Kluyveromyces lactis: one gene and its partners. The protein of the gene in region 4 interacts with the protein of the main gene of each other region in a biochemical or structural test. Links are inferred from orthologs where the notes say so. Each region holds a gene or a part of one and is shown on either strand. Other genes may lie near its edges. The genes, in order: PSF2, MCM4, MCM6, CDC45, SLD5, MCM2 and MCM7.

Region 1 (3,270 bases), on a different chromosome or scaffold from region 4:
CATGGAAGCAAAAACTACTATAAATATCATGTTATATACAGAGCAAATAAACTGAATCAAAGGTCACTTGTTTTATTTCCCGAGTTTCCAACTCTGTTCTCTTCCGGGGTTTATTATATACCTAAAGATATATATATATATATTATAAACATGCTGAGCTGTATTTATGACATGGTACACAGAGTTACGGGTAAAATGTCTTCGTAGCGGGAAGTTATCAACGCAACCATGCTGCTCTCTATGAGTTCATCCTGCTCAATTTCTACTGTTATTGTTTTCTATCTACGGTAAATTCTTTTCCCAACGTAATATTGAAGAAACGTGATTCGTTTCCGTGTTTGTGTTCCCCCCTTGTGTCGTTTTCTGTAAGTTATACCCGTAGTTCAATGCAAGGAACCGAAATAGCCTGAAGAACAACAAATATGATGAAGCAAGAACGTGGGGTGCACACGCAAGGCATGCCCGCGAGGCATGTTTGCGACACAAACGTAAATAAGAACTAAGCAGTGCGTGAATGTTCGGGATGGATCAGTTGTTTCGAATTACTACAAACTGTGAAGCGGGTACATGTAGGGTATGTAATATATGTGTTATTTGATAGGCCTGTACTTACATGGTAACCCGACCTTTTCTAGTGATTATGGTCAACTGTGTTATCATATAACCATGTAGGTTGGATTAAGGGGAGGGACTGGTGGAAACCTCGTGAATGGAATTTTGGATTCAATGGGAAAAGGTTATTATATTATTGATCACGTGGTGTCATTACTGGAGTCATGAATTGTCCTCAGTTTGTCCATGATACCACACGCATAGGGTCTCATCTCATTGATTTCCATCAAGGACAAGTTCTCTAGCTGTAAATGCGATTCGTTCAGGTACTGCAAACCCTTGTTGACTTTTCCCAAACGAACTTCTCGCAGATCTTGGACCTTAGATCTCAGTAGATGAACTGGATCCTGAAAATCATCGCTGCATCTGGCAAACAGCAGTGACGATACCACTAGCCAATTCCAGGGTAGATTGGAGAATCGTGATGGGTTTTTCAATTCAAAATCTAAATACTTCTCCAGCTGTTGTAACGTCAGCCAACTGGGTACCACGACGTTACACTTTCCCTGTTGTTTTAACAGTAAAGCCAGCCATAACGTGACTTCGCAACTATTCATTGCAACCATGTTATTTACCGTAGAATCATCGCATGTGATCAGTGACCATTGGGCGCCAGGATCCTTCGCGAGCTGTTTTTTGGTCTTCCTCGTAGTGATTCTGGGCATAATTCGTGTCGGTTCATTTTCAATTAAAAACTGTATCTCTTGGGGAGAAAATCCTATTGATAGATCTCTCGGTAGTGCCATCTCTATTTCAGGTTGGAGTTGCTAATCTATAGTGTCCTCAAGCTCACTACTTCCTTACATAGTGCTTTCAATGCGCGACTATGACCAATCGATATCTGTGCTTCAATTATTTTTCCATGTTCAATCTTGACATTGAAATCCAGCACAGGAAAAACAAAAACAGGAAAGACTAACTAAAGCTTTAAACTGGCAGTTTTCTCTGATGACTTGACTCATTGATAAAACTAGAATAAATGATGGTTTTATACACTTTCCATATTTGCAGATAAATGGTTTGATCTCATCATATAACGTCCAAAGGCACATTTTGTGGGCTAGTGCTATGATCAAAACATGGATTAGGTGTTTGACCACAGAGGTCAGATACCATCAACCTAATGCTCATGGCAGGAGTTTGGTTATGAGCGTTTTGAATTCTACAGTGACTAAAAGGGAAGCGAAAGACTATTTGAACAAATATACCGATGAGAATAATCATCACTACTGTCTTGTATTTTTGAGACATTTGTCCGAATATTCAGATAACGTACTTAGTGGGTTTAGCAAGACTGTGTCAAGAATTCAAACACTCGGACTAAGACCAATTTTAATAGTAGACCCGCTATGCCAAGACATATCATACCAAAGTCAGCGTTTGGACAATCATTTGCATGATCAGAGTCTGAAGTCAATAATCGTATTAGATCCCATTACCATCGGTGAACGTGGCTCAATTGACGTAAAACTTCCGATTTTGAACCCGCATATTATTCCGATTATTGAGCCATATCAGTACCATGAGAAGGAAGCTTTTAAGAAATTGGCTGGCGATCCATCTCGATTCTTATCATCTCTAGTGAGTAACTTGCCCATAAATATCGACAAGGTGTTCCTTATCAGCAAGTATGGTGGATTGCCGTCTGTGGAAAGACATACAAACAGCCATGTCTTTGTAAATTTGTCACAAGAATATCGAGAATTGAGAAACAGTTATCAAAATCAATTGGAGAAACTAGAATCTATTCAAGTGGATAATACTGAGAAGAATTTGGTAGAATCTCTACAATTATTTTTGAATCAGGATAAGATTCTTAGTAACAGCGATCAACTGAAATGTCATATGGAAGACCTTGAAATCATGAATAAAACGCTATCAGTTCTACCACATTCGTCTACTGGGCTAATTACCACTATTTTAGCAGGGTCCAAATTATCAGATAATAACCCATTGGTATATAATATCTTGACTGATCGTTCATTGATATCGTCATCTTTACCTCGATTCAAAAGATCGGCTGCGGCTCAATCGAAAAGCTGGTATGAGCTTCCATCTTCCAACGTGGAAGAGGAAGTCACTTCCGCAAACGATTCAGTTCTTGTGACTACAGTTTTCAAGAAGGGGATTGATATCCATATATTTGACTTCAGGACTTTGACCGATGATAATTCCATAGGTCTACCACCATCGCAAGCTACTCAAACTGGCAAATCTGACCCAGTATCGAAAAAACTCGATTTGAATAAACTGAATGGGATAATCAATTCAAGTTTTAAAAGGTCATTGGACCTATCACATTATCTCGGCAGGATCAATGGTAACATAGCGAGCATAATCGTAATAGGAGATTATGAAGGTATTGCAATTTTGACATACGAAGGGCCAAAGGACAAGCAATTCGTATATTTGGACAAATTTGCGGTAGCACAAAAATTAAAGGGCTCTCTCGGAATATCTGATATCATTTTCAATCTGATGTTTCGCAAGTTCCCACACGAACTAATTTGGAGATCTCGTGAAGACAACGTAGTAAATAAATGGTACTTCCAAAGAAGTACCGGAGTGCTTCATTTATCTTTAGACCTAGGTAATGATGATCAGAAGCAGAGTATTTTCAAATTGTTCTATTATGGGAATCCGGAAAGCGAGTCATTC
Region 2 (4,959 bases), on a different chromosome or scaffold from region 4:
AAATCAAATCTTGCCCACAAATCTTTACAAATTTCAAGGAACATTTGTTGAAACTCTGGGTGGTTCTCGACGCTTATCAACGCATCACGTCTAGCAGTGGCACCGATTATGTTACTGACGCTCAAATATTTCTCTAATTGGTTCCGACATATATTGTGGTAAAGCGTTAATTCTTCAGGGTCATTTGCAATTTCATCCAACGGCCAACCCAAATTATTGAATGGAATTGGAATTCCCAATAGTAAGGAGAGGGTAGGCACCAGGTCAATCTGGTTCATTTGCTTATATGAAGTACCCAGATCTGTAGTATTATAACTGTCGTAATCCTTACTCCAGTTGGCATTCTTCGCGTATAGCCAAAGGACACTTTCCAACTCGTCTTGCGAATCACCACCGTGGTTTCCTGTGTGGTCCATACCGTGATCACCCATAACAACGTATAACGTGTTATCATCTGCAGTGCTTATAATTTTCCGCAATAGCTCATCAACTTGAAGCTGTTTTTCCTTCATGGTAAAATGATTAGGACCGTACTTATGTCCGACATGATCAACTCCTAACATATGTCCGATCAAGATATCGTATTCAGACCGTTTCTCTTCATTGAAATAATACTCCTCTAAGTAAGAAATAACCCCATTATCGACTGTGTCTAAATCCCAAACGTTCAAGGATTCATATGGTACACTTTCTGGAGCCAAATACGGATTAAATAGGGCATCCCAAGTGTCATCACCGGCAAAGAATATTTTCTTGTTATGCAGATAAAGCTGTTTTATTAAGTTATCCTCATCGATCACATCACCATTGAAATTCGATCCTGCATCTATAAATGTAGGCAAGGAACCTGTTGTCAATCCCTTTAATCTTTGTAGCGTAGTTGTGGGAGGATCAGCCAAAAACTTCAACAAGACAGAATCCGTTGAGTTATGGGCCGTCTCATAAAGAACTTTCAAATTGTTATGATAATTAGGGTTGTACTTGGCATGATTTTCATCTACTGGAATAACGAAATCAAACCTCAATGCGTCCACTATTAGTAAAACCATCTTATCGTATTTAGCTTCGAAGGGAAGCTGGGGATCAAGTTCTGCAACGTTATCCAACACCGTCCTTGTTAAAAGGAACCCTTTTGCGAAAAATGCTATGGAAATAAACTGCAATACAGCCAAAGAAGCAAGTAATAGTATGTACAGAGTGTGCGTAGACTTGAACCTTGATATCCGATAGCTCATTCGACTGGACCTCGTTTGAGGCCCCATTATGCTGAGTCTAATTCTCTCTGCCCGATCTCGTTCATCACTAACAGTGGGATTCATCACTTCTTACCAGTTTCCAAACGGGACAAAAACACAACTAAACGAAAGTACAATAAATTCACGTTGAATAATGATATTGTGCAGAAGAATTGAGTCACACTGGCGAAAGTGGTTCGCTTATCTCTCGCCTCTGACAGAGTTCTTGTTACCACTTTATTTCATTTTAAAGGTTAATTTCTTTTAAAACAGAACAATTGTACATCACGTGATCATTGTTCCCTCTTCAAATAATGCAACTCCAATTCTGATCGGCGAAGATACTGACCATTGAGCTGAGTGGATCCATGGTATTATCAACGGTGGCAAGGGCTCATTAGAACCTTGTTTATTTCAATTTGTTCTGTTTTCTTCTTTAGGAAATGTAACTATGTAACCAAAAATGTGTAAAATCTTAACGAGTTTCACTTAGTTCACTCAAAGCATCTCAAACAAGATAACATTATCAATTGAAAGGTGATATATCAGGGAACCTAGGATTATTTAGCTGCTTAGTAGGTTTGATAAAATTGCTGAATTAGCATTTGGATAATAGTGGCAGTATATATCCATAGAACACAGGAAGACAAACGGTTAACAATATTATGTCCTCACCTCCAGCTCAACAACCAAGTTCACCAAATTTGTTTTATGATCCTAGCTCTTCTCCAGCTCCTCATGGTACACAGGATTCCCAGGCATCTCAAGACCGAGGCGTAGGCTCTTCTCCGTTTCACTATCCTTCGTCTTCGTCAAATGCCACGCAAGAGACGGCTCGCGCCGCTCCTAGTAGCAGTGGTTTAAGATCTAACAATTTGAGATCTGATCTATTGAACTATTCATCCTCTCTATCCTCAAGTGCAAGAGAGGGAAGACACTCTAGATCTAGAAGAGGCGAAATTAATGCATCTGACTTATCATCTCCCAGAAGAATTGTCACTTTCAATAACCTTTCCTCATCGGATAATGGATTTTCATCATCATCGAGACCTGCATCTGAAGCTGCTGATCAACCTTTGAAGATCATCTGGGGTACCAATGTTTCGATCCAAGAGTGTGGTAACAGTTTCAGAGAATTTTTGATGTCTTTCAAGTTGAAATATAGAAAGGAGCTAGATGATCAGGAGATTTTCATCAACGAAACAACAGACCAAGAGCTGTATTATGTGAATCAATTGAATCAAATGAGACAACTCGGTACTTCAAACTTGAACCTTGATATCAGAAATTTACTGGCTTATAAACATACTGAAAAGTTGTTTCATCAGATTCTCTATTACCCTCAAGAAATTATAGCTATTATGGATCAAACTGTTAAAGATTGTATGGTATCCTTAGCACTTGATAATGGGTTAGAGAGTTACTTGAATGAAATTGAATCGAAGTTGTTCAAAGTGAGACCATATAATGTGGAAACCAAAAAGGGTATGAGAGAGCTTAATCCTAATGATATTGATAAATTGGTGAGTATCAAAGGTTTAGTTCTAAGATCCACACCTATTATCCCAGATATGAGTGTTGCATTTTTCAAATGTAACGTATGCAATCATACTGTAGAAGTTGAGATCGATCGTGGTATTATTCAAGAACCAGTGAGATGTCCCAGAGTGGTCTGTAATAGCCCAAACTCCATGGTTTTAGTTCACAATAGGTGCACTTTCCAAGACAGACAAGTGATAAAGTTACAAGAAACGCCTGATCTAGTCCCTGATGGACAAACTCCACACTCTGTTTCCCTATGTGTATATGATGAGCTGGTTGATTCGTGTCGTGCTGGTGATAGAATTGAGGTTTCAGGTATCTTTAGATCTATTCCAATCAGGTCGAATCCAAAGCAAAGAGCCCTCAAATCTCTATACAAGACATACATCGATGTGGTTCATATCCAAAAGGTGGCTAAAGATAGAGTCGGTGTGGACACTTCTACTGTTGAACAACAACTCTTGCAGAACCAGATTGATAATGTGGAAGAGATTAGAACTTTGAGTAGCGAAGACATTAGGAGGATCAAAGAAACTGCTCGCCGATCGGATGTCTATGATGTTTTGTCACGTTCCATCGCACCAAGTATTTACGAGTTAGATGACGTCAAGAAGGGAATCTTATTACAACTCTTTGGTGGTGCTAATAAAACTTTCAAGAAAGGTGGAAGATATAGAGGTGACATTAATATTCTACTATGTGGTGATCCTTCGACCTCTAAATCTCAAATTTTACAATATGTTCATAAGATTGCTCCTCGTGGTGTTTACACTTCGGGTAAGGGTTCCTCTGCTGTTGGTTTAACTGCTTATGTTACAAGAGATGTGGATACTAAGCAACTGGTGTTGGAAAGTGGTGCTTTAGTTCTCTCTGACGGTGGTGTGTGTTGTATTGATGAATTTGATAAGATGAACGATAATACTAGATCAGTATTACATGAAGTTATGGAACAACAAACAATCTCTATTGCAAAAGCAGGTATTATTACAACTTTAAATGCTAGAACTTCAATTCTGGCTAGTGCCAATCCTATCAACTCTAGGTACAATCCTAATCTTCCTGTGACTGAAAATATTGATTTGCCGCCTCCATTATTATCAAGATTTGATCTCGTTTATCTAGTGCTTGACAAGGTCAACGAAGCGTCTGATCGTGAACTCGCTAAGCATTTAACCAGTTTATACCTGGAAGACAGACCGGATTCTGTATCTCAAGGTGATATTCTACCAGTTGAATTCTTGACAGCCTACATCAACTATGCAAAACAAAACATTCACCCGGTAATAACTGAGTCAGCCAAGACTGAACTTGTGAGGGCATATGTCGGTATGAGAAAGATGGGTGATGACAGTAGATCAGATGAAAAAAGAATTACCGCAACAACAAGACAGTTAGAAAGTATGATTAGACTTTCAGAAGCTCATGCTAAGATGAGGTTAAGTGAAAGAGTTGAACTTGAAGATGTGGAAGAAGCAGTGAGACTGATAAAGTCTGCCATCAAAGATTACGCTACGGATCCTAAAACTGGTAAAATTGATATGAACCTTGTACAAACTGGTAAATCGGTTGTGCAAAGAAAATTGCTTGAAGACTTGGCGAGAGAAATTTTAAAGATATTGACAGAAAGGACAACAGACACAATAAGTTTCAACGAACTAAGCAAGCTTATAAACGAACAATCGCAAGATAAAGTGGAGAGTATCGAATTATCAAACGCTTTGACAAGATTGCAACAAGAAGACAAGGTAGTAATCTTAGGAGAAGGTCTAAGAAGATCAATTCGTTTGAATGGCCGTGTATGAATAGATATTATCAAGTCTAGTTTTTCTGAGAAAGCCTCTACATAGTTTGCAAAGGGCTAAATGAGAATAACGACCTTCCGCATGTTCTGCTTATATACATACGTTCTGTGTATATATCATCGTGAAAGTGTTTGACATTATAATAGCATATTTAGTTAGAGTAGCCTAAAGAAAGGTCCCCCGAGATCCATCTGTTGATCATTTCCATAGTAGCTAGTGGTTGATAATATGGAACCGTATGACCTGCTTCGAATACTCTGAGGAAAGTAAAGGGTCCGTGGTTTTTGACCTCACCAAACTGGACGGATCCGTTCAAACTATACCATGGGTTTAAGGGTAACGTTTCATAGCTTATATGGTCCTTCCATGTGAGAGCATCG
Region 3 (4,879 bases), about 900 kb from region 4:
TCTCTTATACAATTAGCGTAGTTTGCAACGTGATCGGCGTTCTCTTGAGAATTCAAGCAAGGCACAGATGTGAAAGTGAATGTGAAAGTAGAGATGTAAATGTGAATTAAGTGAAATATCTATTTATGGTTACAAATTTCAAAGATAGTGCAAATGGTCAATTTAGTTGAATTAGTCTAGTTAGTAAGTTTTCATTGAGGTGGGTTAGGGGTGATTTCATCTAGAACACTACAGTTCGGATGTATCACATACACTGTCTTGGCATTTGAGGATTCGACATCGGCAGATAGATCGTCGTTTTGACCATGTATTTGCATCAAGACCCTGTCCTTTACCAATCTTTTGATGACTTTGAATGCCAATTTCCTTTCTTGCCAATATTCTGCTTCGGTGTTGATGTCGTTTTCTTTCTGTTGTAAATACCAATCTACTATCTCAGTTTTTGTCATTTCAGGTTCTTCATTCTTTTCTCTGTCAACCACTTTCCGTACAATTAGATTCATCATTTCCACGTATTTATCATATGATATTGCGACTTTATGTGTTGTGTGATGAGCGTTGTCATGAGACTCTACGTCAGGACCACCCCCCGTTTCGGAGTCGGCGTTCAGTGGTTGAGAAGGTGACTGAGATTGTGTATCAAGTGTTTCGCCGAAGTGTTGTGTGGCAGGTATTGTGCCCTCACCCTCCGTACTTTCTTCTGGGGAGTTATCGTCATCTTCAATTTCAACGTCATCAACATCAACACGGATGATACTCTGTCTCAACAAATCGTACGCCTCAGCGACAAAGCTCGGAACAATTTCATCCACGCAATTAGCACGAGCAATAGCTTCACTTAATCTGATTAATGATTCCAGTTGTCTGACAGTTATACGGTACGAAGATTTACTGTACCCCTGCGCATCGTCTTTCCTTAGTTCTGTATATCTTTTGACTAGGTAGTCACGAGCTTCTTTAGTCATTACCGGCTTGAAAGTCTTGGCATAGTTGATATAACGACTCAATTGTTCTGCTGAGAATGGTGGATTAATAGCAGAGTCCCTCTTCATGTGCAAGTCTACGATGTGGGAAGCTAGCTCAGTATCGATCTTCTCATTGCAATCATCAAGAATGACAAAGAATAAATCGAATCTGGACATAATTGGTGCAGACATGTTCAAATTAGATCTTAAAGTCAGTTTCCTATTGTACCTACCGCCGACGGGATTAGCGGCAGCCAAAATTGAAGTTCTGGCATTTAATGTTGCATGAATACCAGCTTTGGCAATCGAAATGGTTTGCTGTTCCATGGCTTCATGAATAGCAACTTGATCTGCGATATCCATCTTGTCAAATTCGTCGATACAACAAACACCATTATCTGCCAACATTAACGCACCAGCTTCAATAGTGAAATCACCACCTTCTTCATCTTTCACCACAGCTGCAGTCAAACCAGCCGCTGAAGATGCTTTACCGGAAGTATAAACGGCTCTTGGAGAGAAGTTACAGACGTATTTTAGGAATTGAGATTTTGAGGTGGACGGATCACCAACGATACAAATATTAATGTCACCTCTCAATTTAATGCCTTCTACAGTAGTTTTATGAACACCGCTAAGCATTTGTAAAAGGATACCTTTCTTAATGGTTTCATGCCCGAAAACTGCTGGTGCAATCGATTTCACCAGTTTGTCATAAATATTCTCATCTTTCACCATCTCTTTTAATTCATTAATTTCGTCAGAATCAAGCCTTGTTAGGAAAATTTCTTGATCAGTTTCTGCCGCCATTTCATAGTTTTGATAGTTTCTCAAGTTAATATAATCAAATTTGGATGTCTTATCGGCGTCCTCCTCATTAATCCTACTACCATTGAAACTGGTACCAACATTTTCAACATGGCATGCCAAAAACGATATTTTGTAAGTTAAATCTCTAACACCTAATGATTTGAGCCCAGAAATACCTGAGTTCAATCCTTCCGTTGTCCGTGAGATACCTCTAGAATCTGGAGTCGAACTTGCTTTAACACCAGGCAAACCAAGTTGACTAACGTCTGGAACGACAATTTCAGTACCAATAAATTTACATCTATCACCTGGTTTAGCTCTTTCGACACAGTCACCACGAAGAATAATATCTAAGGTTCTTGGCATAGAACCGGATGGAATTTCATTGGAATTTTCTTGAATTCTTACCTTTTGCCAATCCAAGAATTTGGACCTGTTCACGTTTAATGACCAGAAAGATTGGTTCTCACATGTTGGATTTGGACAAGAGGTTGGTTCAGTGTACTTGAAAACTTGTTCCACATTGTCAATAACAGCTCGACACAATTCGCATGTAAAACTGGCTTTGTATAATTCTGGTCTAATTTCCGAAGTTCTCGTGACTGTGCCTGAAATAGCCATTAAAGAACCAATCTTATTAGCCCTAATATCTCTGATTCTATGGACAGTTGGGAGATTCAGGAAACTGATTTGCAAAACACGTTCAACCTGATCTGGATTAGTGGCAATGGTAGATGGGGCAGTGCCTCCTGCGGTGGCAGCCTGCGAAGTTGGCAAAGATGAATCTATTCTTTGCGAAGAGCGGTCCTGAGAATTCTCTTGAGATTGAGAAGGAAGTACAGAGTCAGATGTTAATAATAATCCAGGAGCGTACTTCTTCACCACATTTCTTAGCCCAGATAAAAGGAATGGCAAAAATCTGTAATACTGTTGTAAAATAGCAACCGCTAAAGCTCCGTCTTCCACCTCGGCCAAATGTTTATAGTCAACGTATATGGTATTCAATTCGTACCATCTCATATATTCAATTTGGACTCTATAAACCTTCTCCATCTCACCTGTTTCATCATTGAGGGCGGTGAAATTTGACAAGAAATGTTCGAATGCCTCTCTTACAGTTTCACCAGTTTTATCATCAACCTTTTTGATGGCATTCAAGTTTTTCTGCCTGATCCCGGCTAATGGAGTAATTTCTTGTGAATCATTTTCCATAGCCTCTATTTGTGATTCTGAATTAATGCCTTGCCTAGTGTCATCAGTACCGAAATGTCTATTTCCATCTGACACTCCTCTGGAAGAAGATGGAAACTGGGGAGTTCTGTTTCCTAACGACTGATCATCGAATTGTGAACTATCATAAGCACCTACACTAGAGGGAGGCTGGGATGATTGCTGACCATGTTGAAAAGGACTTGATGGTGCCGACATTGTTGCTGATTTTTTCAGCTTGCTCCAACTATGTCCGGTTTTGGATGAGCCGTTCAACCTGGATGCCCTTCACATTGAAGATCATGTTTTAAGTGTTTCAACATGTAAAATCATTTTTTTAATTTCTGAGTTAAGGCGATTCAATATTACTTTTCCTAAAGAGGTATTGCAAGTATCCAAAATTAGTTAACTGAGGTATAACACGAGGAAAACCATTGACTATCGACCATAACATATCGATAACCAATGCAGCAAAGTTCAATTTAATGGAATTTTTTCTTTTTGATTCGATAGGGAGAAGATAAAACATCGGTGAATTGATAATAAAAATTAATGATACGTAGGTAAGAATTCATCTTATTTAAGCGATATAAGTATATGGACGCGAGGATTTTAGAAAGCTGGCCAGGGATAAAATAGCCCCCCTGACAGTCAGTTGCATTAATGGTGAAGTGAAAATGAATCTAAAATCGAAAGAAAAGAAAAAAATGTAACCAGATAAAATAAACCGAAAATGTTAATGTGGACATAGGTCCACTGAAAAGCCGAATGGAAAAAGATTCAATCATTCTTGGTAATTGTAAGTATAATTGAAAAAGTTCATGAATTGCTGAGTTTCTCTGAAGTGCCTCTCACCCAGAGCGTACTCATTCATTTGTCTTTGTAAAGTAGTATTAATCTTAGGTTCATTCGAGTTATTCGTGAATTTCACTTCTTCTTCCATAGACATGCCTGCTTGCTCGATGTCGAGGGGGAGTACTTCCCAATCAGGATTTATTTGTGACTTTTGATCGGTAGATATGAAGTTCATTTCTTTATGGAGAACAGTATGTTCATGGGAGGATTGGGATGAGATAGACCGTACGGTGTCCAAAGCTGCATCTTCAACTGGTGATTTGTTCAATGAGGAGAATTCATCGAATGGTTGTGTACATTTGCGTAAATGAGTAGCTGTATTTTGAGATCCCGAATGAGGTATTAGTTGTGGTTGTCCTGTGAAGGGGACAGAGTTCGAGGGAGCGAGAGATGGGACACCGTTGCCATACACTTGGTTTTCGAAATGACCGTAATTCTGATTGTCGTTATGTTCATTGATATTTCCATTGATATTTCCATTGTAGTTTAGTGGTATTGAAGCCAGAGCAAAAGTGTTATCCAAAGCCAGGTCAGATATGGTTTGTTTGATGGGCGGGGAGGCAGAAGCCGGTTTAGAATACTCACTCGATAACTTCTTCCTATTTTCTGGCATGAAGTTGCTGATAGGCACCTTGGCTTCGCTGATAGTTGCTTGGTTGGAAATGAAACGTGACTGTCCATCAGAGGTCATGATCATTTTCAACTTCCCACACTTTTTACTCTTCTTCAGGTTACCCTTGAAAGTTGGCAAAATAGCTTCACATTCACGATTTTCAATATGATGTTCAATCCATTCATTTGTCGAATCAAAGTGTTTTTTACAACGGCCGCAATGTCCATGAGAGTTCACACGGTCCACATTCTTAACATTATCAGGATAAATGAAATGCCTTGATCTCAAATGGGTCTTATAAGAATCTCTTCTGGAGAAGCCACCTGTCGAGTGACAACGTTTCTCAGAAGGTAGAGATGCATCCCAGAAGGGACAATGATATGCCTTTTCTATGGCATGTTTCTTGATGTGGCGAGTTAAATACCCT
Region 4 (4,506 bases):
GAAAGGTTATTCTTAAAGAATCAAAGAGATAAAGAATTAGCTTTTGAAAAGGACTCGATGCAAATACGTGACGAAGATTTAAGATTAATAGAAGGCAAATCAGTGATTCAACTAGAAAGCTTGCAATTGATGCCCGTCGAGGCTATTTTCCTCTCTTATGCAGTGCCGGTATTGAAGATCACATTGCAACAATTAATGGTTTCGTTGGTACTGGAACCGAAAAGTTTCCAAGACATCAAGAAATTAATTCATCAATATGTCGCGTACCATCATTACAGGTCCAAAGGGTGGTGTGTACGATCGGGGATAAAATTTGGTTGCGAATACTTATTATACAGAAGAGGACCCCCTTTCCAACATGCGGAGTATGGAATCATGGTTTTGGATGCAAACCAGTCAAATGATTACACTTGGTATTCAAGCGCTGCCAGAGTCGTGGGCGGAGCCAAGAAACAGTTTGTATTATGCTACGTTGAACAACTCATACCTGAAGATGACTTAATGGAACTTTGGAAGCAATCAAAGTACGATGAGCTTTTCAGAAACTTTAAAATCCATGAATTGTTATACAAAAGATGGGTTGCAGGTAAGAACAGAGATTAACTGTTCCGAACCGGTAACGATCTTTTCCGCGAAGAACTCAAACGAGTAAAAATAAACCCATGCTAGTTAATTGCATTAAATACAGTAATGGTCTGTATTATATGTCTCTATATATATTATCAGTTTATGTTTGTAATAGTATTATGGCCGATACAGAAAGAAAGATCTCTCATTCTAAATCTTGCCGTCATATACATCCAAGATCCATCCACAATCTCTGAATCCCTCAGTACGTTGAGCTGGTCCCATTACTGGATCATCATAAATCTCTACCAGTGTTGGATCATGTGTTGCTGGCTTTGAGATGCAAATTACCTGACCGTTGGGTAGATTGCATTTCAATTGTGAATTAGGGAACGGACACGCACAATCCGACTTCTGTCTCACACAATCCAATGTCTGTGGACATAAATAATGCGGACAGTCATTATCTAGGAACATTTGCTGGTAAGAGCCAACATCCCGCTGTTGCTGCTGTTGCTGCTGTTGCTGTCTATTCTGGTGACCTGAATCGAAAAAGAATCCAGACACAGCTTGTAAAAAGAATGCTGAACCAATTATTGTTCCCAGTAGTTTCATAGTAAGTTAAGATCTTCGTATTTCGTAATACTGCAATATGAAATATCAGATAGCAGTGTTTAGTACCTATAGTCTTGTAAATCTTGGCATCTCTTCGAATATTTCGAATATTTCGCATGTATGCCATTTATGACAAGTAATCGATTTTCCAAAAATCTTTAAACGTGTAAGTATTCCAAACCAATATTTTAAAGAAATTTATGTAAATACATGAGATGACTAGCTCACGAGGGAAAAGAGACTGCAAACAAAACCACTGCAGGCCATCAAAGTGCCAGGTAGAGGATGTATATTGGCATTGCTGAATTTGTGGGTGCTTATGATAAAATTCTTCACCGATGCAGTTCTCATTCTTCATGTCAGTTGGTGATTTTTGTTTCGTGTTTAAACATTGACGCGTTATGTGCATCGAAGATGCTATCCAGTCTATTCAAGAAGCAATTGGTACAATCACAGTTAGTTCCCGTGTTTGGTTATTCGGAATTGAAGGATCACTATCAGAGACTGGACGAAAATATCAATAGCGTTATATTTGTAGGTTGTGGAGGGATGGTAGATCTTGAATCTTTTTTAGAGATTGATCCACAAGAAAACACGCAGGGTCCATTAGATGAGATTCAATTAGATAAGACTGACGTTGTTCAGAAATTTAAGAAGGAGATATTTGTGCTTGATTGTCATAGACCGTGGAATTTGGATAATTTATTTGGTTCACAGTGCATAACCTGTTTCGATGATGGAACAGTCGAAGAGTCTTTGACAGAGCAAAAGAAAGCATACTACAAACTTATAGAGATAGAGAACGAACTTGGCGATGAATTGGACGATGACAGTGATAGCGAGGAAGAGGAAGATGACAGGGAAACGCAAAATGAGGATAAAGACGACGATGACGATGACGATGACGATGACGATGACGTAGTATTGGGTAAAAGGTCCAGCGATGAATTGAATCCAAAAAAATCACATAAACAACGAAAGCGAGAGTTTCACAACTTAGAAAAAGTGTTACAGGAGTACTATTCACAGGGATCAACGGTGCTGAACTCCCTTTCAGTTCAGATATATTCTCTTTTGTCTGGTATTGGTGAGACAAATCTAGATTATTTATGGTTATGCATTCTAGGAGTGTCCTCTTTGGATAATTCCTTCCCGTTGGTATACAATCGACTATTACCACTTCTGAAAGATGAAGTAAAAAGATTGACACCTAGTGAAAAAACTAAAACGCCAGATTCTTTGAATCTTGAGATTCGTCCCGATTACAGTTTATTCCTTCTGAGGCATACATCCTTATATGATAGTTTTTATTATTCTAACTACGTCAACGCCAAACTGTCACTGTGGAATGAAAATGGCAAGAAAAGACTGCATAAAATGTTTGCACGCATGGGTATTCCGCTGAGTGTTACACAGGAAAACTGGATATATATGGACAATAATTTCAAGAGAGATCTGGGCGTACTTTTCGATAAAAATCTCGATAGATACGGGTTACAAGATATTGTACGAGATGGGTTCTTGAGAACTTTCGGTTACCGAGGATCAATAAGTGCCAGTGAATTTGTCGAATCGATAACCGCTTTACTTGAAGTTGGCAATGCTTCAAACGCACTAGAAAATTTGACAACAGCTAATGTATCTCAAAAAGATGATACGAACCAAGGTGATGAAGAGAATAGGGAGTACGAAGAAGCTGAAGAGCAAAAAATTAACAGAATACTGAAGACAAGGCAAAAAAAATGGATTGCAAATTTTTGGTCAAGTTGGGATGTATTGGACAATAATATGGATATTTTATCTCAGGGGATTAAGCATGCAACATTTTTACAAAGAAGTGTATTTGAAACTGGAGTCGCTATTCTGGAGAAAAGATTAGTGAAACATTTAAGGATTTACAGGCTATGTGTTTTACAAGATGGACCAGATTTGCATTTATATAGAAATCCATTAACGTTATTGAGGCTGGGATCATGGCTCATTGAATACTATGCAGAAAATGACGAAAAACAGTTACTTCCACTGGTATTGGCAACTTTAGATGAGACTTCTGACACATATCTTTGTGCAGGGATTGCGCCAAGGTACCCAAGAGGGTTGGACATTTTACAACAACAACAGCAGAAAACTTTAAATAATTTCACAGTGGCATTTCAACAAATAGCAGCTGAGACAGGTGCCAAAGTAAGGATTGACAATTTCGAGACATCAATTATTGAAATCAGGAAAGACGATCTACAACCATTCCTTGAACGTTTGACATTAAGCGGATTGATTTAGCACGAAGACACAAACATATTAATTTAGGCATATCATGAGGTGAGCTTTCGGCTTTAAATCTAATATATATATATATATTATGTAACAATCTAATCAGATACCTCGAAATTGACACTACTATGGGATGTCCAAGCTGTTTGAAATCTGTTAGGTTTACCATTGATATCACGTGATCATTAAACCAATGCCACAAATGTCAGTCAAAGGTAAGCATTCTAAAATACCCACAATAATTTGTCATAATTATAGGCAAAATGTTGCCAAGAACCAGCCTTCAACCCCTCAACTGTAGCTGTTCAGGCTCTTAAGTTAATACATGGAGCACAACATAGATCTTCCGCGTCTGCCACCCTGGAAAAGCCCGCAGTTCCGCAGGATCAAACATGTCAAACACTCAACAGATGAGGATTTCAACGTTGGGATGGGCACATCGGCAAATGTATTCAGCGACTCTTCGCTCTACACTCCGTTGAATTACAAGAATGAACGCAATAGAAACAGGGATATGAATGGGAAACAAAGGGCACCAGGGATATCTGAAAACACTCTCAGTTTCAAATACGATCCGTCACCTTTCATACTCCATGATAATATACTAAACAAGACAAAAGTGGATCAATTGCAACAACAAGAGGTTGCCATGAGAAGACTTTTTGATAAAGATAGAGCAATACCTGAATCCAGGCTCAATGTACCGTATTACCAAACGCTATGGAGAGAACAGCTAGATTTAATGGATGATGACATGCCAGAAACAAGTCCGAAATTCGATTACTCGAACTCATCTCAAGATCTATACAAACAGCTCCGGCAGTTCCAAACAGCATTTGTCCAAAATGAGGCGTGGAAGTACGAGGAAAACACTGAATAGCTGGCTAGTAGTATTAACTCCTGTGACTATTTCATCCCTCACAGCTCACAAGATTATTCCACAGTGCGGAATATCCCAATATATCTAATGCAAATAGACTGCGACAAGCATAAATAGCATACGCAAATGGATAGACGGACGATGAAACCCGTGTAAAGCACCGTATGATCAGA
Region 5 (3,484 bases), about 810 kb from region 4:
AATCTCCAGCTCAAGGTCTTGATGATGTATGGTATTGCCAAAGTGGTACTAACTCAAGCTATGTTAATGGAAAGAAAATCACTCCGGGCACAAAGATCTTACTTCATGATGGCGATGAAATCCAAATTATATGGGATAAAATCAATGATGTCACTGTTTCTTTCCAGCTTGAGTTCAATGATACCACTGGTTTGTTCCACGAGGGGAAGCTGGATACCAATGAGAAAACAAACAAGACACTTCTACATAAACAGACACAGGAGGAGTTAGCTTTAGTCCCTAAGTTTATGGAATTTATGAAGTCTAGATCATCACAACATGCCAAATCTAATATAAACCAGTCCTCTTCCAGTAACATAGATGCCAACTCGCAAAATATCGAGGAATTAGATTCTGTCGTTGAGATGAACTCGACTACAGGATTGAAAAGAATACATTCAGTGTCGTTATCTCAATCTCAACCGCAGACAACCAAAAGGGCTAAGCTTGCCCAAGCCCAGAAACCAGATATTGAAGGATTTCTCTGAGCTGATCATATGCTTGCCGGATGGGTTTTGCATACAGTAAATATGAAAAATAGGTACACTTTGAGTATGCTAGATAGACTTTTCAACGTTAATTGATGTAATACTAATACAAATTGGTTCAAAAGCACTATAGACCAGCAGTCAATAACACTAGGTAGAAAACATGCTGTGTTCGCAATAACATTGTTGAGAAATTATTGCTGGCAAACATTCGTTACAAACCTATATTTTTCGAAGAGTCATAGGTTCAGTAATACTGTTCAGAATTTTCATTATATTAAAACTACTCGTCCCTCAGTCATGAGATCTCGTATTACACTATAACGTATTACGTATACTGCCCCGATTAATAAGTAAATTTCTTCATTTAAATCTTCAATAATCACTGAGTAACAGTGTTTTCCATCATCATCGGTCGTTAATTTCGAATCAATACCACTTTCGTCAACTACCCCACCACAAACTAGTATAAATACAGTTTTATTCCAATCGGGTTCATCAATCATACTGATGGAACCCTCAGTATCGTTAACGGCTTGCAGTTCTTCTGGTAAGTGCTTAAGTACTGCGTTGTTAAACAGTTTTAGTAATATGTCAGAATGCTTCATATGGTACTTCACCTCTTCTTTGGACATCAATAAATCTAGTCTGCTGAGGCCCGCATTATTGGGTAGTTCGGATTGTTGTCTTAGGTAAATGCTGTATTTGTCAATTTTGCTTAACCGGCATCTGATGAAAGATCGAACTAGGAACTTCAATCTCTCAAGTTCTGCTTCCATGCATAAAAGTGGTAGCTTTGAATCGACAGTTAACTCTTGATTATCTTCTAAGTATCCCATTGATAGTGTTTCTATTAGTTCAATTCTTTCTTGAATCCTTATTAATGTCCTAGTCATGAGATGATGTGGATATGGAAGCAGCTCCGGACTCATACGTTCATTCTTCCAATGTGTAATTAGCTTTTGATAGTCGTCAATTTTGTTAAACTGTGTGGGAGCCACAGGGTCAACCGCCTTATCTGCTGGTCTTATCTGAGAGACATCATTGCCTTGAGTTCGATCGCTTTGGTCTGGGTATGAAGAAGCATTTTGTTCAACAGCTGTAGTGTCCCTATCCAGCTCAGCTAGAATGTCGTCAATATCAATGCTCATTGTACTAAAGAAATATGATCCTACCACCAGGACTCAAAGCGGAGGAAGTGTTCGGATAGTACACCGGGGTGGCTTTTATAATTGCTGTAAAGGTGTATTCAGACAAGAAGGACTTACTTGCAATGTGTTATCCTCCAACCTATTGTGAAATTCATCCAACTTACTGTAACATCGTATTTTTGATAATACTCAAATCTTATTTATCATCTTTTGTTTACGCTTAACAAATCCATACATGAAGCAAGATAAAACGCGTCAGTGAAGAAGCGCTCATCAGCAACACCAACCTCAGGGGGAATATACCCAGAAATATGGACAAGAATGAGCGCTTACAGTTGATGAAGCAGAAAATAGAGGCTCTTCAGCTGCAAAGGAAAAAAATTGATTCGAAACATGAAGAGATAGCAGATTGTACCCTTCCGTTCATTTCCCATATCACCAATTCCATAAATAACAACGAATCTGAAGTCAAGAAAGAAGTAAAAACTGTTGAGATCTCAGTGCAAACAGATGATGTAAATGAGTTTGAATTGAGCGCTGTTAAGGAGGCTGTGATAACATATGATATCGGAATACAGACAGATGAATATGACGGGAAACATGAAATTATGGAAGATGGACATCTACCTTCCCAAGATCTTATAGAACAGCAAGCATCGACTTCAGATATTACAGAGACCAAGGAGGATAAAGAAGTTGTTGAAAAGGATGTGTTTGATTTCGGAAATGTCGTTTCAGCGGAAGACTACGCAACGTTGAAGAAAGAAACATTTTCACTACAGGAGACTATAGAAGCGGCTGCGCTCAAGTCATCTTCTCATCAAATCGCTGGTGATGGGAAAATAAGCATGTATTTATCAATTTCACCAAAAGTTGCCATTGATTCAACTTCTGAAGCAAGGGTCATTTCCAGTGACGTCTTAGATAATTTACTGGTTACTGTGATTCATCTTGTAACCAAATACGTGAAAAGCTCTTTAGTTCAAATCACACACGTCTCTTCTGGTGAGGTACTTGATACAGTTTTATTCCAAGGTCAGAATGTTGTACGGAGCAAGTTTATTGATAATCCTAATTCTAAGATTACCTCCGTCGTTCTTTCTTGCTATACAGGAAAACTCATCTTATATGAACTGCGAACAGTCAAAATAAATAATAGCTTTCAGGTGGAAAGAAATATTGTTTCCACTAATTATCATCACTATCCGGTACTTTCAATTATAATTCCAAAATTCAATGACCATAGCATCCTGGCGGCCAGCACCAATGGCCAACTTAAGCTGATATCAACCTTAGATTTATCATTAAAAGAGGATGACGATGTCAAAATTATTCCTATCCCAAGGACGGACTTATCATATTCTACTGAACAGACTAAAAAAGATAACAAGTATTACCAACACCTATTGATAATGTCGCTTTATGACGAACTGAGCATAATTAGTATGCTACTGCTGCCATCTGATCCTTCTTCCATATATCTTGGTTGCGAGGATGGCTTTATTTACAAAGTGTGTCAATTACCTCTAAAAGGTGATAACAAAGGGTGTTACAAAATTAGTGAAGGAAACAATGGTTTCATACCAAACTTCACCTCAAATGTGGATGATGCTTCTCTATTCCACGAAGGTCCAATTACTGGTATGGTCGCTTGTGCTGGCATTGATGATCTTTTCTTCTCTTACTCCATTGATGGTGATTGTATTTTTTGGGACGCGGTCAGCAATTCAAGAGTAAGTGTTATAGAGTGCGATGATGCGATAATAAAAGCTCAGTGGATTAACGAAAATGGCTCTTTCTATGTTG
Region 6 (5,151 bases), about 670 kb from region 4:
GAAGCTTTCCCAAGATACGAAGACTTAACAGCGGACAACGTCGATCCAGAATTCATTTCCAAGACTCAAAAACTGAGTGCAGGATGCACTTTCATTAAAGTCGATAGAAATGATCCATCCAAGGAAGATTTGTTTTTACCAGTTTGGAACGGATCAAAATGTATCAACTTGATGGTTTGTAAAGAAGATGTTCACGAATTGTTGTACAGAATTTTCGGCATCGAAACAACCAGCAAACAAAATCCAAAGGCTGATCATATGGCCAAGAAGGCCCAAGAAGCAGCTGACGCATCAGCTAACTCTTCGAAGGAAGAGACTTCTGAGAAAGAAGAAGTACCTGCTGTAACTGTCACTGAAACATCCACGGCTGAATAAGTTTCTTCACTCCACATTATCAGTTATAGACTTCTACATGAAATTATAAAAGCGGTATTCCTTTGAAGGTTGAAGTAATCATTATTTAAGTCTATTAGTTACAAATTTGTATATTATGCTAATATAAGCGATGTAGTACTGCATCTATAATGGAAAAAATGGGAACGGTATATTGTTGTTCTGAGCTTATAGAATTGTTTTCTTCCGTTGGAAATGTTGAATCTTGATTTCACATTGTTCCCATAGTATAAACAGCGAAAGATCTTTGTAGTTGGCGACGTACACTAATCTTTTGTGCACCCACAAAACTGTCCACTGTTACTTTAATTGCTCTGTCTAAATCCCATGAGGAAACGAATTCTGATAATCTCATTTTCGCGAAGGCTTCAGCAATTCTTAAGATAGATTCCAAATGACGAACGGTGATCGGGAATGAACCAGTAGTGACACTCTCTCGTCTCAAATCAGCATAAACCCTACTCACTTTGTCCATATCCATTTGATGTAACTTAGGGTAAACTTTAGTTCTTGCGTAATGAATATACTTCATTAGCATATGCTGAGATATGGGCGAAATTTCTTCTTCTCTTTTACGAAGGTTCTGCAAGCGTCTTTGTTTGGCAGATAACGGAGTTTCTTCATCACCCTCCCCATTAGGATTTTCCGTTGGAACGTTACCATCATCAAAATCATCCAGATCCTTGTCTGGATGAGACCTGATATGTGAATCAACGACGAAAGATGCTAGCCGATTATCACTTTCTTCATCAACCAAATCTCTTACCACGCAGAGGATATCGAATCTTGACAAAATTGGTTCAGTCAAATTGACATTTTGTGATAACGGAAGAGTAGAGTTGTAACGACCACCGATCGGGTTGGCGGCAGCTAAAATAGAGCATCTGGCTTGTAACGTGGTAACGATACCTGCCTTAGAGATGGATATACTTTGCTGTTCCATTGCTTCGTGAATAGAAGTACGATCCTGATCGTTCATCTTATCGAATTCATCAATCAAACAAACACCCTTATCCGCAAGCACTAACGCACCACCTTCAAGAGTCCACTCTTTAGTTATTTGGTCCTTCCTGACAGAAGCTGTCAAACCGACTGCAGAAGCACCTTGACCTGTAGCGAAGACAGCTCTGTTGGCAGTTTTTTCCACGTATTTCAAAATTTGGGACTTGGCAGTACCTGGATCACCGAGAAGTAGAATGTTTATGTCACCACGGATGGAATGCTTACCGTTAATGTTTTTAGGAACACCTCCGAATAAAGAACATGCAATTGCTGTCTTGATATCCCTGTGCCCATAAATAGATGGAGCCATTGATGAAATGATTTTATCGATGATTCCTCTGTCACGAGACATCTTTCTGAATTCACGCTCTTCGTCTTCTGTCCAACTGAAGGCATCCAGCCCTTCGTGTTCATCACCATCATGCAATCCGCCTTCTCTTCTCTTCACTGAATTGGCTTCCAGTACTGTTGCGAAAACGGGGAACCCGTTCTTTGCATTCAAATTACCGTCATATGTGTTCTTATAGATTCCTGTCACTTCGACTTCTTCACCAGGTTTTGCGATATCAACCAAGTCCCACAACAAAATGACTTCTCTGTGACGTGGTAATCTACCGGCTGGAACAGACCCTGGTGATTCTTGGATGGTGATTCTTTGGTAATTACGGTACAGAGTTTTTTCCATATTAATTCTGAAGGGACCCTTAGATCTACAATTTGTGCAGAACGAGATTTTAATTTCTTCATTTGAATCCTGATAGTAAGGCCCAAGTGTGGCACCACATTTCAAACAGTTGAATTTAACGTATTTAAGTTGTGGGAAGACACCAGTTCTTCTTGTCACGACACCACTAACTCTAACTAAAGAATTCAAATGAGTTTCACGTAAAGCACGTAAGTTCAATATACTAGGGAAATCCGAGATTCTTACGTGAATTTCCGAGTGAATACGAGTATAATCGGGATAGTGTAGTTGTGTAGCTTCCATAGCCACTGTATCAAATATTTTCAACATTTCTTCGGGAGATTTGGCTAAAAATAGGGCTAGAATGGCCTTGGATTCTACCAAATGTCTATAATTAACTTCCAAGGATTCAGAGTTCATTTCACCGAGAGTTCTGATACGAGCACCGTAAACGGATTTACCTGACTCATCAGTATATTCAAGCAAAAACGATTTCAACTCTCTGGCAATAGTACGTGATACATTCGGTTGAGTGATCCATTCAGAATAACTTGATGCCTTCACATCTGCCAAAGATTCCAACGAGAGCTCATCTGCCAACGGATCTATATCCATATCTGATAACAAATCATCATCTGCTTCTTCGTATTGACGTCTTCTACGTCTCCTCTGTACTGGAAGACCCATAGCATCCAAATTATGCGCACCAGCTCCTTCGCCATCATCATCATCAAGGTATGCTGTGTTCCTATGCACCAAACGATCTCTCTCGTTCAATTGTGCATCGATTCTTCTACGCTCAGCGAGCGACAACTCTTGCTGCTCCTGGTCGTCGACTCCTCTTCTTTCATACGTATCATGTTCTGTGTTTGAAGCGTAATCACGGTACATATCATCACCCATCAAATCGACTTCATTCATTCTTTCTTCCACATCTTCAAGATCCTCTTGAACATTGACAGCTTCATCTCCATCGTTATCTGGATTCTCAAAATCTATCTCATCTGGAGATCCAAGCGGGTCTTCAAACTGTGGAGAACTAGGGATGTTAGCGCCACCTTCACGGGGTTGTGTAGACAAAGAATCATCCTCATCCTCATCATCATCAGCTCTTCTTCTTCTCCTCCTTCCGTTATTTATTTCATCATTATCAGACATCTTGAAACACTTTCAAAAACAGCAATTAATAATCTTCAATTATCGCACTACCAAATCCGATCACACAATTGTCTTCCTGATGCTTCGATGACCTACTTGTTACACTTTGTTTCAGACCATTGGGATCTAAAGCTATCTTAAGATCTTAACGTTTTTTCCGGCTTTTTTCTTCAGTTGAATGTACGAAAATGATCTTTAATTGAAACAATAACATTTCCTAAAATGGTGTTTTGCAACGATCTGACCATTGTAGAGCGTTGGGGCTAATAATACAGCAATGGCAATATTCCAATAACACCAATCGGTAGTTCTCACCTCTTTTAGCTTTGCAATCTACATTTGATTAGTATAATTTCTTTATTATGATGCGTGGATCACGTGATAATCACATGGGATCATACGCTTAAAAACCGTACTTATAGCTCCAATCACACGATGAAGCAACACAATTGCAGGTAAAGTATGGATGTTGAAGCTCTGGAATGATGTGATGCATTTTGTGCCCCATATTAGATCGATTTCCATCCGGTAACCGTCCAAATGTGTCGATATTGACGTAAAATCATACGGAATATTGATTCATCGACATGGAAAATCTCTTACTATCAATGAAATATCCCCAAATTTAAACATAAGGAACACGTCAAGTTAAAGGCAAAAAGGGTACCTTCATTCACGCATTTCTTACTACAAGGTGAGTTCTGGCACTTAAAGATAGTCTTGTTGGTGTTAGGGAATGAGCGAGATTAGCGTTAAAGAATATGTGAAGCGACAGGAGGAACTGGAAGATGAAGCAAATAAACTGATGCCATATGATCCAAGCCATTGCACTTATTCCATGGGCCCAATTCGACAGCCAATATTCGCATGTCGTACTTGCAACAGTATAGGAGTGTGCTATTCATGCTCTATTCAGTGTCACAGTACCTGTGACTTGGTGGAACTTTTCGATAAGAGGAATTTCAGTTGCGATTGCGGTACAGAAAGGCAGTTTGAACACGGTGAGAAGTTCACACCTTGTAATATAAGAAAGAATACTACACCAGATATACCAGACATGAGTAACAGGTATGGCCAGAATTTCAAAGGGTTATTTTGCTCTTGCCATAGAGAGTATGACCCGAATACAACGACAACGATGTTACAATGCGTCCTTGGCTTGGAGTGCAATGAGGACTGGTTTCATGATCACTGCATTCTAGGGATAGAAGAAAACCCAGACCCGGTTACAGAAGACAGAAAGCTACCAGGATTCCCTGAACTGTCAAGTTTCGAAGGATTTATCTCATGGGTTTGTATTGACAAGTACAGCTCGATATTTGAAAAGCTTTTATCACACGAAGCGTGTGATAAAATCATAGCACATAAAGTGTACAGGAGAGATCTGGTATCGGATCAGAACTCCGAGGGAATGACATTGGAAAGTACCAAGAAAAGAGGGCTAGAAGAAATGGAAAACTCTTCGGGTTCATATTCATTATTCTTGAAAGAAGGATATAGGGAAGAATTTAAACGATTAAGGGATTCACTTCCAGAAGGTGACTCCTTGAAAAGCTTTTTCATGCACACAGCACCATTCCTCACTTGTGAAGAGAAAGTTTATGAACCCCCGGAGGAACAAGAGCAAGGATCTCTTGTAGAAATGGGAGAAACGGCCCTAGCTCAAAACTTGTCTCATCAGCAAACTCTAGCCAGTCTAGTCGCTTTCCAGCAAATAAAATCAAAACTAACAGATTTCCTACGACCATTTGCGGAAAACGATAAGGTCGTTAGTGAATCTGATATCAAGCAGTTTTTTGATACTCAGAAAAAATGAACTCTTGTTACGACATTTAATCATCATAAACTTTAAATGTGGATATGTTATATACATTGCTACATTTAGAAGAATTTATTGTCAATAAGAGGGATAT
Region 7 (4,250 bases), on a different chromosome or scaffold from region 4:
CACAGAGTGGGTAGCGAAACCTGAAGCTTGTCTCTTGAATATCGTACTGGCAATCATCTCGTAATAGGTGTATATGTATATAGTTTGAGTTTTATGTTTGTGTTTAACCTCGTGACAATACACATACATATATTTAAATCCTAATATAAAATATACTCTATCACAAGAACCGAATCTTCAACTATTCACATTTCATACTTCTTATATATAAAACTAGAACCGAAAACCATCTTAGTGTAACGATACTAACACTCTGTGTGCATATTAATCTCGGGCTAAACGAAGCATAAAAAAGTCAAACCAAAAACAGTTAAAATGCTAAAGATAACGAGGTAACTGTCAGAAAGTCAGTCTGAGACAGCTGTTCTAACCTGATTTCCAGTTTTAAGGTACATTACAGTACAATGCAGATACTCAGCTAGGCGAATTTTTTTTATTTTGAGAATTTTTTGTTGGCTTTTTCTTTTGCATCTTAGAAACGTGTGTAGGACTGAGAGTTTTGTGCGAAATCTTGAGTGTGTGGACTGAGAAACGGTGAAATAAATGTGGTCTGACTAAGTGTCATTGTGAACGACGCCGACACATAGGGCTGTGCCGGGGCCTGTACCCTTTTCCACACAGTAGTAATAATAATAAACATTAGCTTCGGTGATGTTTAACGGCATAAACTGTAAACTATTGGTATGCCGGTCCGTATGTAGTGCATTTTTGCAACACGTAAACTGGGAAGGAGCTAAATTGATTTTTTAAATTGATTTCTCAAATTTAAGGGTGCGGTTTACGCGTTTGTTTACGTTTTTTGACGTTTACGTACGGTACAACGCGTAAAATGTAAACAATTTATGGGGGGCGGGGAGGTAATAAATTACACCTGGTTTACGCGTTGCGATGACATACCTCTCGTTTACCAAGGGCTATCCCTGAGGGCAGGGGCGGCGGTACACTTTGAGCGAGGGGAAATGTTGAATTTCAGTTTCTGAAACTGGGGTGTCCATTTACGAATGCCAAATTCCTATACTATATCCATTGTCCACTCGATTGGCCCATTGAACACTTGTTAGGCTTAGATAATGCAATGTTAAGGTTGTTTTCACCCAATTTTTGAGGTTACTGCCTCTCTATACCGGGGGTCCAGCCAAGCCAATGTGGTCGTTTATGAAAAGTACTGAAAATTGAAAAATTGAATTGCAATTTCAAATTAAAAATAGACTATAAGAGGGAGGGTAATTATGTTGGTATGTTTTGTCACGTGGTTGTGTCCGGGTAATGCGTCTTTCATCTTCTACCCGATTAGGAACTGTAAAATAAAAATCACTTTCGTTTTTCCAATTGATCTTTGAAACATTTACGCATACACTTTCTGCTAATCTTCAACAACTTCTCCGTTATCAGTTTTCCTACTGTCTGCTGCCACTCACACCAACCAACGATTCAGAACACCACCAGTACCATGGCTTCATCGGTTTTGCCCACACTGGATCTCGGAATTGACTACGAGGTAGCTCAAGATAATATCAAAGATTTCTTGATCCATTACAAAGAGGAAACTATCGGTTCTACTGGGGAGAACGATAATGACGATAACTTGGATCCTGAAGTTGGTCAGGGCCCAAAGTACTTGCAACAATTGCAACATATTGCCAATAGAGAACAAGATATCTTGTATATCGAATTGGACGATGTGTACCATTATCAGCGCACCAAGCAATTTGAAAATTTGTCTTCGTCAAATACAGCAGCACAAGGCAAGAACTTAGTTAACTTACACCGTATCATCATGGAAAACACTAAGCGGTTCACAGAACTTTTCTCCAACTGTGTAGATGAACTATTGCCGCCTCCAACGAAAGATATCGATTACGAAACAGATGTATTGGACGTCATTTTACACCAACGAAGATTGAGAAACGAAAGAAATATCTTGGAAACTAGAGATGAATTCCAACAAATGGCTCAAGGGATGGGCGAAGAGTCTCAAACCAATTTGGATCAATTGGCCACTACGGACGCTGATTTGTTCCCTGCTGCGTTGATTAGGAGATATCATTTGTATTTTAAACCGTTAACCAGCAGATCCACTAGGAAACTGAAACCAATGTCAGTAAGAGAAATTAAAGGCTCTTATTTGGGAAAATTGATTACAGTCCGTGGTATCATTACCAGAGTCTCTGATGTGAAGCCAAGTGTCACAGTCAACGCTTATACTTGTGATCAGTGCGGTCATGAAGTGTTCCAAGAAGTTAATAAAAGAACTTTTACCCCAATAATAGAATGTCCCTCTGCCCAATGTTCCGAAAATCAAACTAAGGGACAATTGTTCATGAGTACTAGGGCATCAAAGTTCAGTGCATTCCAAGAATGTAAAATTCAAGAACTATCAGATCAAGTGCCCATCGGGCATATCCCAAGGACATTAACTATTCACATTAATGGGCCATTAACTAGATCCATGATTCCAGGTGATGTGGTAGATGTTACTGGTATATATCTACCTTCACCATACACTGGTTTCCGTGCTTTGAAAGCTGGTCTATTAACGGAAACGTACCTAGAGACACAGTTTGTGTACCAGCATAAGAAAAAATTCGCATCTTTCCAAGTTGATGATCAATTGAAAGAAAGAGTAGCGAAAATCGTCAACCAAGGTGATGTTTATAACCGTTTGGCTAAATCAATTGCTCCAGAAATTTACGGTAATCTCGATGTTAAGAAATCTTTATTGTTATTATTAGTGGGCGGTGTTGAAAAAAAAGTCGGGGATGGTCTAAAAATCAGAGGTGATATTAACATTTGCTTGATGGGTGATCCTGGTGTTGCTAAATCTCAATTATTGAAATCTATCTGTAAAATTTCTCCGAGAGGTGTCTATACAACTGGTAAGGGTTCTTCTGGTGTAGGTCTAACAGCCGCCGTTATGAAGGATCCAGTGACTGATGAAATGGTGCTAGAAGGTGGTGCCCTCGTCCTTGCCGATAACGGTATCTGTTGTATCGATGAATTTGATAAGATGGATGAAAGTGATAGAACTGCTATCCATGAAGTTATGGAACAACAAACCATTTCAATTTCTAAGGCAGGTATTAACACTACTTTAAATGCCAGAGCCTCCATATTGGCAGCTGCTAACCCGCTATACGGAAGGTATAATCCAAGGTTATCTCCACTTGAAAATATTAATCTACCAGCAGCTCTTTTGTCTAGATTCGATATCATGTTTTTACTACTCGATATGCCAAGCAAAGAAAACGATGAGAAGTTAGCAGAACACGTCACGTACGTTCATATGTATGACAGGCAACCTGATTTTGGTTTCGAACCAATTCCTTCGAGCGAAATGAGAGAGTATATTGCATACGCCAAGACTAAGAGACCTGTGTTGTCAGCTGATGTCAATGAACACATAGTTCTATCTTATACAAGAATGAGACAAGACTCTAAGAAAGCGTTGGATTCTAAATTCTCGTTTGGGCAAGCAACACCTAGAACTTTACTTGCAATTATCAGACTATCACAGGCCTTGGCAAAACTAAGGCTCAGTGACACTGTGGAAATTGAAGATGTAGACGAAGCTTTGAGGTTGGTAGAAGTCTCTAAAGAGTCATTATACAGCGACCGCAAGAACCCATATGAAGATGAAAACCCAACAACCAGAATTTACACAATTATCAAGAAAATGGCGACTGAAAATGGTAGATTTAATAAAAGATTACCGTATGATGCTATTGTAAGAACGATTAGATCAAGAGGTTTCACTATGCTGCAACTGGTAAGCTGTATCAAAGAGTATGAGTATCTTAATGTTTGGCATCAAATAGAAGACGGAAACACCTTGCTATTTATTGACGATATTGATGATACAACGGAAGACAATTCTGATATAACTAACCCTTCGACGCAAAGGACACCGGATGAAGATGTCGATATGGAATAATACCTGACTATCTGCATACCACTAATCTGTTTTGATCCAATAATGCCTTTATTCCTTATTTTAGTTTTAAACCTAGTTTAACGACAAATTTGTATTACTATATACTAACGTTTAAGTAACTTCTAATGTGCCTCTTCTCCCAGATAGACTGAACGATGCAGAAGTAATCACAGTCTATCTTTCAAAACCAAAATTAATTTGTCGAATTCAAAATCTATCTATTTTGTGCATAAACCTAGCTTATGCCATCTACTACTTAGTCTAAGGTAAGTTTACATATTTGTTTACAACTTCTGAAACCTCAGAGAGTAGTTCTTGT

What was found.
Region 1: the proteins of CDC45 (region 4) and PSF2 form a complex in vitro, tested with the Saccharomyces cerevisiae proteins (2 studies listed by BioGRID). The link is inferred for Kluyveromyces lactis from reciprocal best matches to the Saccharomyces cerevisiae genes CDC45 and PSF2.
Region 2: the proteins of CDC45 (region 4) and MCM4 form a complex in vitro, tested with the Saccharomyces cerevisiae proteins (5 studies listed by BioGRID). The link is inferred for Kluyveromyces lactis from reciprocal best matches to the Saccharomyces cerevisiae genes CDC45 and MCM4.
Region 3: the proteins of CDC45 (region 4) and MCM6 form a complex in vitro, tested with the Saccharomyces cerevisiae proteins (5 studies listed by BioGRID). The link is inferred for Kluyveromyces lactis from reciprocal best matches to the Saccharomyces cerevisiae genes CDC45 and MCM6.
Region 5: the proteins of CDC45 (region 4) and SLD5 form a complex in vitro, tested with the Saccharomyces cerevisiae proteins (4 studies listed by BioGRID). The link is inferred for Kluyveromyces lactis from reciprocal best matches to the Saccharomyces cerevisiae genes CDC45 and SLD5.
Region 6: the proteins of CDC45 (region 4) and MCM2 form a complex in vitro, tested with the Saccharomyces cerevisiae proteins (7 studies listed by BioGRID). The link is inferred for Kluyveromyces lactis from reciprocal best matches to the Saccharomyces cerevisiae genes CDC45 and MCM2.
Region 7: the proteins of CDC45 (region 4) and MCM7 form a complex in vitro, tested with the Saccharomyces cerevisiae proteins (6 studies listed by BioGRID). The link is inferred for Kluyveromyces lactis from reciprocal best matches to the Saccharomyces cerevisiae genes CDC45 and MCM7.

The regions. Positions count from the first base shown.
Region 1 is NC_006040.1:557,846-561,115, forward strand, and holds PSF2 (DNA replication protein PSF2), read right to left. Parts: upstream 1,359-3,270; coding exon 753-1,358; downstream 1-752. Other genes in the region: ARG2 (acetyl-CoA:L-glutamate N-acetyltransferase), read left to right, coding at 1,681-3,270. UniProt on the Saccharomyces cerevisiae protein: Functions as part of the GINS complex which plays an essential role in the initiation of DNA replication by binding to DNA replication origins and facilitating the assembly of the DNA replication machinery.
Region 2 is NC_006039.1:1,537,327-1,542,285, reverse strand, and holds MCM4 (MCM DNA helicase complex subunit MCM4), read left to right. Parts: upstream 1-1,900; coding exon 1,901-4,579; downstream 4,580-4,959. Other genes in the region: mannose-ethanolamine phosphotransferase GPI13, read right to left, coding at 1-1,319; KLLA0_C17490g (S10 family peptidase), read right to left, coding at 4,731-4,959. UniProt on the Saccharomyces cerevisiae protein: Acts as a component of the MCM2-7 complex (MCM complex) which is the putative replicative helicase essential for 'once per cell cycle' DNA replication initiation and elongation in eukaryotic cells.
Region 3 is NC_006042.1:935,427-940,305, forward strand, and holds MCM6 (MCM DNA helicase complex subunit MCM6), read right to left. Parts: upstream 3,204-4,879; coding exon 192-3,203; downstream 1-191. Other genes in the region: KLLA0_F10109g (C2H2-type zinc finger protein), read right to left, coding at 3,769-4,879. UniProt on the Saccharomyces cerevisiae protein: Acts as a component of the MCM2-7 complex (MCM complex) which is the putative replicative helicase essential for 'once per cell cycle' DNA replication initiation and elongation in eukaryotic cells.
Region 4 is NC_006042.1:1,833,971-1,838,476, reverse strand, and holds CDC45 (DNA replication initiation factor CDC45), read left to right. Parts: upstream 1-1,467; coding exon 1,468-3,462; downstream 3,463-4,506. Other genes in the region: tRNA splicing endonuclease subunit SEN2, read left to right, coding at 1-603; LCL2 (Lcl2p), read right to left, coding at 778-1,182; KLLA0_F19800g (uncharacterized protein), read left to right, coding at 3,779-4,333. UniProt on the Saccharomyces cerevisiae protein: Required for initiation of chromosomal DNA replication. Acts at the origin of replication. Also has a role in minichromosome maintenance.
Region 5 is NC_006042.1:1,023,172-1,026,655, reverse strand, and holds SLD5 (DNA replication protein SLD5), read right to left. Parts: upstream 1,679-3,484; coding exon 800-1,678; downstream 1-799. Other genes in the region: serine/threonine/tyrosine protein kinase RAD53, read left to right, coding at 1-527; PAC11 (dynein intermediate chain), read left to right, coding at 1,990-3,484. UniProt on the Saccharomyces cerevisiae protein: Required for DNA replication. Functions as part of the GINS complex which plays an essential role in the initiation of DNA replication by binding to DNA replication origins and facilitating the assembly of the DNA replication machinery.
Region 6 is NC_006042.1:1,165,106-1,170,256, forward strand, and holds MCM2 (MCM DNA helicase complex subunit MCM2), read right to left. Parts: upstream 3,239-5,151; coding exon 605-3,238; downstream 1-604. Other genes in the region: NCL1 (tRNA (cytosine-C5-)-methyltransferase), read left to right, coding at 1-375; KLLA0_F12606g (uncharacterized protein), read left to right, coding at 3,975-5,054. UniProt on the Saccharomyces cerevisiae protein: Acts as a component of the MCM2-7 complex (MCM complex) which is the putative replicative helicase essential for 'once per cell cycle' DNA replication initiation and elongation in eukaryotic cells.
Region 7 is NC_006041.1:2,065,526-2,069,775, reverse strand, and holds MCM7 (DNA replication licensing factor MCM7), read left to right. Parts: upstream 1-1,450; coding exon 1,451-3,931; downstream 3,932-4,250. Other genes in the region: KLLA0_E23211g (uncharacterized protein), read right to left, coding at 1-129; AAH1 (adenine deaminase), read right to left, coding at 4,193-4,250. UniProt on the Saccharomyces cerevisiae protein: Acts as a component of the MCM2-7 complex (MCM complex) which is the putative replicative helicase essential for 'once per cell cycle' DNA replication initiation and elongation in eukaryotic cells.